Caenorhabditis elegans: one gene and its partner. The protein of the gene in region 1 interacts with the protein of each later gene in a pairwise test. Each region holds a gene or a part of one and is shown on either strand. Other genes may lie near its edges. The genes, in order: W05B10.4 and let-60.

The links.
Region 2: the proteins of W05B10.4 (region 1) and let-60 interact in a two-hybrid assay, tested with the Caenorhabditis elegans proteins (3 studies listed by BioGRID).

What each region holds. Positions count from the first base shown.
Region 1 is NC_003283.11:12,666,093-12,670,345, reverse strand, and holds W05B10.4 (Ras-associating domain-containing protein), read right to left. Parts: upstream 2,121-4,253; 5' UTR 2,116-2,120; coding exon 2,040-2,115; intron 1,497-2,039; coding exon 1,360-1,496; intron 1,298-1,359; coding exon 743-1,297; 3' UTR 657-742; downstream 1-656.
Region 2 is NC_003282.8:11,687,454-11,692,819, forward strand, and holds let-60 (Ras protein let-60), read right to left. Parts: upstream 3,636-5,366; 5' UTR 3,625-3,635; coding exon 3,496-3,624; intron 2,801-3,495; coding exon 2,606-2,800; intron 2,549-2,605; coding exon 2,378-2,548; intron 1,653-2,377; coding exon 1,593-1,652; 3' UTR 774-1,592; downstream 1-773. Other genes in the region: ZK792.5 (Nucleolar protein 9), read right to left, coding at 374-664. UniProt on the Caenorhabditis elegans protein: GTP-binding protein with GTPase activity. The level of let-60 controls the switch between vulval and hypodermal cell fates during C.elegans vulval induction. May stimulate the guanine nucleotide exchange factor (GEF) activity of rap-1.

The DNA of each region.
Region 1 (4,253 bases):
CTAAATACGTAATAGCTAACTTTCAGCTTTCGTAGAAAAATAAATATCTGAACTTTTTCTAACGTCTAGGTAAATTTGTTGTTAAAAATCAAATCATACGACCAACAGGAAATTGGAAATTTAATTACATATATTTCCAGACATCTGATTCTATAACAGTCTATCAAATATTGGAATGAATTCATCACAACGAAAAGGAACTTAATCTTACAAAACAAAAATCAGAAATAATATGTATGTTTTACTTGGGGTTTGTAGCTACAGCATATCACTTATTAGTTTTTGGTGTAACGCCAATAAAATTAGTTTAAGGTTCAAGAATCCAAGTTTTCTAAGAATAAATAAATTGGTTATACGAGGCACCTACTGCTGATCTACTAGATTAAAGACAATGTATGTTTTCTTGAGCATGTTTTCCGAAATGCCAGAATGCCAGGATGAGAAAACAATAATATCTTTTGATATTTCATTGCTCGGTTTAATAAAATTTTATTTGAGTTGATGAGAGATTTAAAACAAAAAATACTGATTTTTCGCCACTTTTTGAGAAATGTATACCACTATCGCGTTCAAATAACCTTTACCTTTTTTTAGTAGATTATAAAATTCGAAGGGAACTTTTTTTTGAACGACGATTTTCATTAAGAGACAAAGAGTTATTTAAAAAATGTTTATAAGATACCACGAATTTAAAGCATTAAATATAATACATATGTACCAATGTTCAGAGTACATGCAAAAATTAGAATACATCAACATTTCTGATAATGATTTTTTGATTCGGTTGACAAAGTCTTGCAATAGAAACTAATGAAACATCTTCTGGAATTTGAGCATCTCCTCCAGGTGTTGCTAAGAATAGTCCATACTTTGAGATATCATCATATTTTCGATTTAAGCCGAGAACAATATGAATAGCTTCAAGAACTGTTGTTTGAGATGAAAGGAGCAATGACTTGTAGTTAGATTGAGGAGAAATATTATGATCATGAACTCTGACGAGATATCCTGTTGGACTTTGAAGAAGTATGAAACGAGACATTCCGATTGGATGGCATCTTTGAAGTTCATATGGTCGAGATTCAGGATCCAGTTTTAGAAGTGTGACAACAGGAGCTCCCGAAGCTCTTGTTGTGAGCTCCATCCAAAGTTCGAACATGTTTATATCTCGGCAAGTGAGCTTGAGAGTTGTCAGAAATTTTTCAACGACTTGGCGTGCTGTTGTTGAATTAGTAACTCGGATTGTCTTGTAATCGGTACATTGTTTAACACTCCGCGTATCAACTTTTAGGACTCCCTGAAAATAGTCAAAATTATTGAATGATATATTTGAATGGTGCCTGATGTTTTTTTACTCACCACATCTGAAGAATCCGAAATATTACTATCAGTTGAGTTAAGGGAAAGAAGTGAATTGCTTCGAGAAGTTGTTGGAATCCCGAGAAGAGTATCATCAAGAAGAGAATGCATAGAAATTGAGCAAGGAGAGGATGAATCTAAAATTGAAAACAAAATTTTTTTGAAAAAGAATCAACTAAAATCTAGTTCAAACCTAAAACTTTATTTAATAGGTTTGATGTTTGCAAGCGATCTTCGGAAGATCAAATTTTGAAAGCTCAATTGTTTGAGTTTCGTTCGAAAAAGTAAACTTGATCTCATCGATTTCATTGAGTACTGTAGAAACGTAAAACATCCGAGAAAAAATGTTAAATTTAAATTTCTTGTGTAAACTATTGGAAATGATTCTAGTAGAAGTTAATAAAGTTTTGTAAATCTTCTTAGTGTTACGTAAAAGTATTTAATACCCAAAAATCTATTATCATGGGAATTAATTAGTCATTGTAGGTAATTCAATCTCTCATTTAAGATCCTATAGGATTTTACATTACTGAAAAGTTTAATCACTTAAAAAGGGTTCAAGCGTCTGGAAACGCAGTCAAATATTATTCATTCATATCAAATAGAAATTATGAACATATTTTACGAAATATAAGTGCAACACTTCAAGTAGGTCTCGAGTTTAATCAAAAAAAACTCACTTGACGAAGACGTTCTCGATGCCCGATTGGCAGGCCGCAACGTCAAAGTGGACGATTTCACTTGGTACTTGAGCATTTTTTCTGAAACAAAAAAAACCGTATAATTCAATAATGTTAGCCTTGTATAAGAAAATAGTACAAAGGTATGTACATACGAACAGGAAAAGCGAAAAAGAGGAAAAGTATGAAGATATGGGTGCGGTAGTTGGCAATACACAAAACGGGTAAACGATATGGGTGTGTGAGTGAGTGTGAATGACCGTTTTCAAACGAAGAAAAGTATTTGATCAAGCCGTAGCCTGGAGAGAGGAAAATGGAGATATTATCAGTGATTTGGCACGCGGTGTCCGGGAATGTGGATAAAGAGAAAATCATTAATATATTTGTTTTATTTGTTCTTTCTTTATTCACCGACTTGCGTTCGCATTCAATTGGATCACTAATGAGGAAATGAGGAATATATTATGGATAATATAAGGATATCATTACATATAATGGTAGCGGAAGAAGAAAGAAAAATGATAGTTCCGAGGCAAGAGTCAATCAACTGGTTCCTACGGTCGGAGATTGCTATTTAGATTTGATTGGTGTTATCAGACACGTAAGACGAGTAAAATACAAGTACAATACTATCATCAAATTAGTTGCCAAAAAAGATGAAATGTTTATCAAAAAGTTGTACAACTGTAATGGACCGGAAGTTAGCAATTGAATCTTGGAGGATCATTTGAAATACAAAAAAGATGATAGGTCTCGAGAAAGTTGTCGGAAATACTATCAGATGGAACATGGACTAAAGATTCATTTTTCTGAATGTGGCCTGTAAAGTGTGGGATTTTTAGTCCTAAACTTTTTTGTAAAGTACCTGTAGTAGAAAATTACGAGAAGTGCAAGAAAAAACCAACAAAAAACCCAAAAAAACATAATTTGGGCCGAGCATAACATTGATTTTTCTTGAGTTTGTCACTTTTAAGGTTGCCTTTAAAAGTCTAACAGTGAAAACTTTTTTGAGTTTTTGCATTGAAAATTGTATTGAAATTTTTGCATTGAATCCAACAAAGAAATTTACTTAAAAAAACAAAAAACATTGTCTGAATTTGTCTAAAATCTGGTTTTTTGTCAAAAAATAATTTCAAAAGTTTTGGTATGGGAAGAAAACAGTCAGACGTATTTTCAAGAGCCTAATTTTTTCGATTTTCTACAATTGTCGTGGGCAACTCAATTTTTATTGTTTATTTATTATCGTCGTTAATATTGCAGCTGTCTGTCCTTTCAATGGATCTAGCTCTGAAGAAAAATTAAATATTGTCGTTTAAAGTGAAATTGAAGTTTCTGGATTTTCTAACCAATAGTTGTACAAACTAGCGTTTCGAAAACCCAAATGTTGCTTCCACGACATTATTCACCTTGAAACACTTTTTTTCGATTTTAACTTTGGCGATACTTCTTCCATTAAACAAAAAGTGGGCGGAACATTGAGAGTTTCAATTAATTTTTGGCATACTATTCTCCCTCATGCCCACATTCCTTGATCTATCCGCCTGATTCGATTAGAGACGAGTTGATGTACAGAATCAATATGAAAAAACACTAGGGAAAAGTCTGAAGGGATTCAAAAAACAAAAAAAATGAAGAAACTGAAGGTAGAAGTACTTATGAGAAGTGAAATCGGATAAGCTGGAAATAATCGAAGGCGCCGTTTTTAAGAAGGTGACAGTGAATAATCCCAGAAGAAAAAAGGAGTTTTTTGGGGCTTCGTCTGGGTTACGCAATGAAGAACGATGCAAAATGTTGAAGCATGATTTTAGAATGAAAAACTTGCAAAAATATGCAACAATTTTTTTAATGATTCATAAATGGATTAAAATCTATACACTTTGAATATGAAAACTATTCAATTTACAATTAGAATAAAACTTTCGAATAAATAAAAAAAACAAGCTGACCCCATCAACTTAAAAACTAAAACCGACTCCCTGTCTCATATCTCATATATGTGCCTACTGTCCTAATAACCGTGCAGGAAATAAGCGTCGGTAGGCATGAGGCAGGCACTCACTGAAGACGATTTTGCCTACCATGAAAGTTCCAATTTTGCTAGTATTATTGGAAACTTATTTCAAATGGGGTCTTCAATTTTAAAAGTTGTGCAATTTTATATGAAAAGGTGCGGAAGTGATCATGTTCACATTATTCTATTTTGGAAAAAAAGGC
Region 2 (5,366 bases), on another chromosome or scaffold:
ATCGATTCTTCACAGAAAAAAGTCTCAATATATCGAATATAAATTTTTTAAAATTCAATTTCAAAAAAATACTGAAATATTTGTGAATTCCCGCGCTCATTTTTTCAGACAGTTTTTCGGAAAGAAACCTCGAAAATCCGAACGAAATTCGATAAAATGAAATTGGTCTAAAACCTATAATTCCACATTTTGAACAATTTTTGTCCAGGAAAATGACTAAAAAATTCAAAAATAATTCGGCTTTTTTTTATTTTTTGCAAAATAATACAAATTTTAGAAATGTTTTTAACTCGACATATCGAAACTTTTTCTGTAATTTTGAGTTTAAAAAGCCAGAGACGCTACATCACTCACGACACCATCTGACACAAACCTTCTCAAAATCTCCGGCACTGAATTCTCTGTTACCACCGAATCCTCTTCCACCACCACCACGTCCACCTCTATCATTTCTTCTAAATCCACCATCTCCTCCTCTTCCACGACCTCCTCCACCTCGATTTCCACTTCCAAATCGTTCATTTTTGGCTAGAAAAGTTCTGAAATTGTTTCTCTCCTCCTGTGGCTTCTTCTCAGCATCAGCAGCAGCATATCCGTATCCTTCAAATGAGTTTTTCGCTGGAGGATTCTCATCAGACTCTACATTTTTCCTTTTTCTCGTCATTCTAATAAATTAAATTTAGTTTTTTTTAAAATCATGCTCCGATGGCGAGGTCAAAATATAACACTGAAATTAACAAAATATAGTTGAATAGATTTAAAAAAATAATATTAGCTTTTTAAAATTTATATCATTGCAATACTTCCTTGAAAATAAAATAATAATAAAAACTTGATCAAAAGAATAGGAATATTATATTCAGATAGGACTATAAAATGTAGAGGAATAGAGAAAAATGAATGCAATACGAGGGAGCAAAAACTTTCAGATGTTCAGAAAATGTATGAGAAATGGGGTCTAATTGTATCTATATTATAGTTAATGAAAGAGAAATAATTACTTGACAAAAATGAGAGGAAACAGAGAAAAAATAAACGGAACGACCGGCAGATGCAAAAGAATTTAATTTTCAGAGAACTTCTGAAAATAGATGAGGCCAATAATTTGTATGAAAACGAGGAAGGGGAATAAAGCATCAAAAAAGCAATACAAACATTCTGAAAATATGCAGAGAAAGTGAAAAAAAAATGGTGCGATGTTTTTTTTGGTAGAGTTGGCCAATTTTGGAACGAGGAGGGGGTTCGGATGCATGTTTTAGATATGGATCACACACTACAGCTAGTTTTGACACCTATGAATGAATGGAGATTTGGGCTAAGCGAAAGATGAGGAATTAGAATGAAGGATGAAGAAAAAAAAGGAGAAAAAATAATGACGAGCAGACGAGAGAACAAGTTCAATCGATGCATAGAGAAAAAAAGGTGGAAATTCGAAGAGTATGTAGAGGCGGAAGAGGATCGATCACAAGTTTCAGATAAAACAGATAAATGAATAATGAAAATGTACCAAAAAAGTACGAGAAAGGATAATTGGGTGGGAGTTGACACGACTGAAAATGAGTTGGCGAAATTGGGCAATTCCCGACGCTGAATCACATTATTTGACACTTCTTCTTCTTTTGTGGCTTATTATTGTCGTGACGCTCACGATGCTGAAATAAAAAGAAAACATTATTAAATCTTTCGGATATCAATCTAGGGTGTCATCAAAATTTTTTTTAGAAAATTAACAATAAAACTCAATTTTTTATCAGATTTTGTGCATGCTGGTGAGAAAAAAAACAAAAGAAAACATATAATTTTCTTTAAAAATTAAGAAAATGACCAAAACTTTGAGCTTTTGTTTCGAAATATCGGAAAAACTTACATTTTTCGTTTTTAGTGAAAAATGGAAACTTGAAACTGTTGATAACAATAATAACATTTTAGAGCTTTACAAAACAGAAAATTTTTAAAAACAACGTTTTTGTATTACTCAAATGCAACATTTGGCGATTTTCAAATTAAAGATGCGGTGCCCGGTCTCGACACGATGAATTTGTGTTAAATGCAAACGTATGTGCGCCTTTAAAGAATACAGTAACTTTAATATTTCGTTTCTGGGGTAATTTTCACCGATTTATTAAAACTGCTGTGTTTTTAAATATTTTTATAATATCGAAAACTTAAAAAAATTGATGAAAATTCCGCTGTAACGACAGTATAAAGTTACCATAATATTTGAAGGAGCAAATCGAACAGACCGGGTGTCGTATTTTTGGCGCGAAAATATCAAAATCTCGCGTCTTTCAATTTTCATATAATAATGACTGAATTTGTACCTTAATTGTACATTAAAAACATTATTTTTAATTTAAATTTTTAACTAAAAAATTACCTTGCGAATTTCTCTAACAAGTGTGTAAAATGCTTCATCAACTCCCATACGCGTTTTGGCAGATGTGTCGACATTCGGAATACCGTAACCCTTTGCTGTCTCACTGACTGTTCGGAAGTCGACTGATCGAGATGACAAATCACATTTATTCCCTACCAAGACCATAGGAACCTAGAAGAAATACAAATATTCAACCATTGACTGATAATTTCAACAAAAAAAACTCACATCATCTGAATCCTTTACCCTCCGAATCTGCTCGCGGTAGTTAGCGACATTCTCGAAAGATTTAGCCTCGTTGACGGCGAAAACCAACAGAAATCCTTCGCCTGTCCTCATGTACTGATCACGCATCGCCGAATATTCTTCTTGTCCGGCGGTATCCAATATGTCGAGGAGGCATGTCTCACCGTCTATCACAACCTGAAATTAGAATATTTAAAAACTAGCTCTCGGAGCAATTTTTAAAACTGAAAAACTATTTTTACTGGTTAAAAACTCAAATGAAAACACTGAAAATTAGGGCTCAATAATATTCTGAATTTCAGAGTTTAAAGATGAATATACGTTTAAAAAAATTTATACTCCTCACACGACACGAGCAGGCATGCTGGTTTATCGATTTGCTTTAAAAAAACAAAAAATCTAAAAAAAAGTTTTGGGCCCTTTCTCAAAAAAAAAGTGAAATTTCTGTTTTTTGTATAAAACGTAAAACGGAATGTAATTATTGAAATTCGTCTGAGAAATATCGATTTTGGAGTGTTTTCAGAATTTTTCCGGTTTTTGCAAAAACTAAAATTTTCGGTTTTCCAATTTTTTTTTGTGAGAATTTTCGGGGGACAATGAAAAATCATGATTCGAGCCATTTTTTTCAGTTCCAGCCATTTTATAATGTCGTGTCCAAAACACGAAAAATTGGTTTTTTTTCGAAAATTTCGGAATTTTTCGTGTTTCAGCACGATTTATTCGTCTTTGGAATCAATTAAACAGCTCGATGTGTTTCAAAAAACTTCCAAACTTCTGACTCATCGTTTTTTTGTTCAATTTCAAATGCCATCATTTTCGTTCAATTTGCTCCCACCACATGTGTGTAGCGGATGTTCCCAATGATTTCTCACCTGCTTTCTGTAGCTGTCCTCTATGGTCGGGTCGTATTCTTCGACAAAGTGATTCTGGATGAGTTGAATGGTGAGTGCTGATTTACCAACTCCTCCATCTCCAACTACCACAAGCTTGTACTCCGTCATTACCCTTTTCTGAAAAAAGACGCATAGTTGAATATGGAAAAATGTAAAATAGAGATGGAAATGAGAAAACGAAGTGGAGAAGGATTTCTGTGGGAGCACTGCCAAAGAGCAGCTCTGCCTATCGGCATACTCAGAATTCCGTTTCTTTTTTTTTTCAAAAAAAAGTTTCGATAAAGGAGAGTAACTACCAGGAAAGAAATAAAAAACCGATGATGACTACTTGAGAATAATTGAGAAGATAGAAAAAGAATGAACTTTCCTGTTAATAAACTAGGTGGTGAGTCGGAATGAGTAACTATTTGAAGACGACGGAGAATGAGTCATTACAATTTGAAAAAAAGAAGAATTCAAATAGTTTGAGTAATTTTGAACTTTAAAAAATGGGGTAATGCAATTATTAAAAAAAAAACCAGGAGAAAAAAGGTCTTCACTTCATCAAAAATTGATTTCAAAGCGATGAAGAAAAAGGGGGACAATATAATGTTAAAATCGGTGAGACGGCGGACAGTGGTGCGACCCGACCACTTATTGTCGCTGACAAATGGCTCGAATCGTCGTTTTTTTTCGTCGGTTTCTTTTCGGTCGCCCTCAGTGTCGAGTGGGTCTCTTTCATTTTTCTTTTTCACTTTTCCAATACAAAATTCTCCGATCTCTCGTTAAAAGATTGCAGAGATTGAGACGTAGAGAAGTAAAGTTTTCCTGACAAGCATTTTTCACAAGGAAACAAATAAATTTACGAAATTCAGTTAGAAAGTTTTTAAAAAAACGTTCAATTTTACTTTGTTAAATATAAATTGTTTAAAGAAGTAGCATGTTTAAGAAACAATGATTCCCGTAGGAACTATAAGCAAAAACTGACAAAAAAGAATAATGAACTTACGAAATCACTCATCTCAACTATTTCAGAAGTTGAGAGATGAGAGATAGGAAGGAAAAAGAAGACGTTAGGATTAGTAAGACCGGAAAAGAAGACTGCCCCTTCTCTCACTCTGCATTTTTTTTTCTTCCACACTACTTTAATCCTATCACACAATTTGGGATGCGTTGCTCCATCTTTTCTATCTTCTCATTTGGTTGAACCAAGGAGCGGGTGCGTGCCTAATAAAATGGATTAAGCTAAAGACGAATAGAGAGATGAACTCGGGAGGAGAAAATAAATAGGCAGAAAACGCTTCAAGTGCAAGATTCTGAAGAATTCTTCTTCCTTCTGATGATGGAGACGAGAAATGAAGTTCATAGGAAAAGAAATCCGAGGCTCTGGAGTGCACAGAAGCACAGAAACCACACACTCTCTCTTTCTTTCTTTTTTATCTCTTTCTCTCGCACCCCCCATACACACACACAAAGTAAGAGTAAAAGATAAAGGAGTGCGGTCCCCACCATGCCGCTGCTACTGCTGCTACTGCTACGGCGGGACAATTAGAGAGCACTAGAAACGGTGATGCATAGACACGAACGACCGCGACGCGACAGCCGCTACGCTTTTGACGGTTTTGCGACGACTGTTGGGAGAAGAGACAAGAAGTGAGCGTGTGTGAGACGAAACAAGTGTGATTTGTAAAAGAGAAAAAGAGTGAGAGAAAAGAACTGTCCACTTTCTTTTTGTATCGACCCATCCCTATCTGTTTCTGACGATAACGACGACGACGAAGGATGGTGATAACGATGAATTGAATTATTTAATGGAACGCATGCAATTTTCGTTTCTAGCAAAGGCGGTGGTCTCTTTTTGAAAAAAAAAA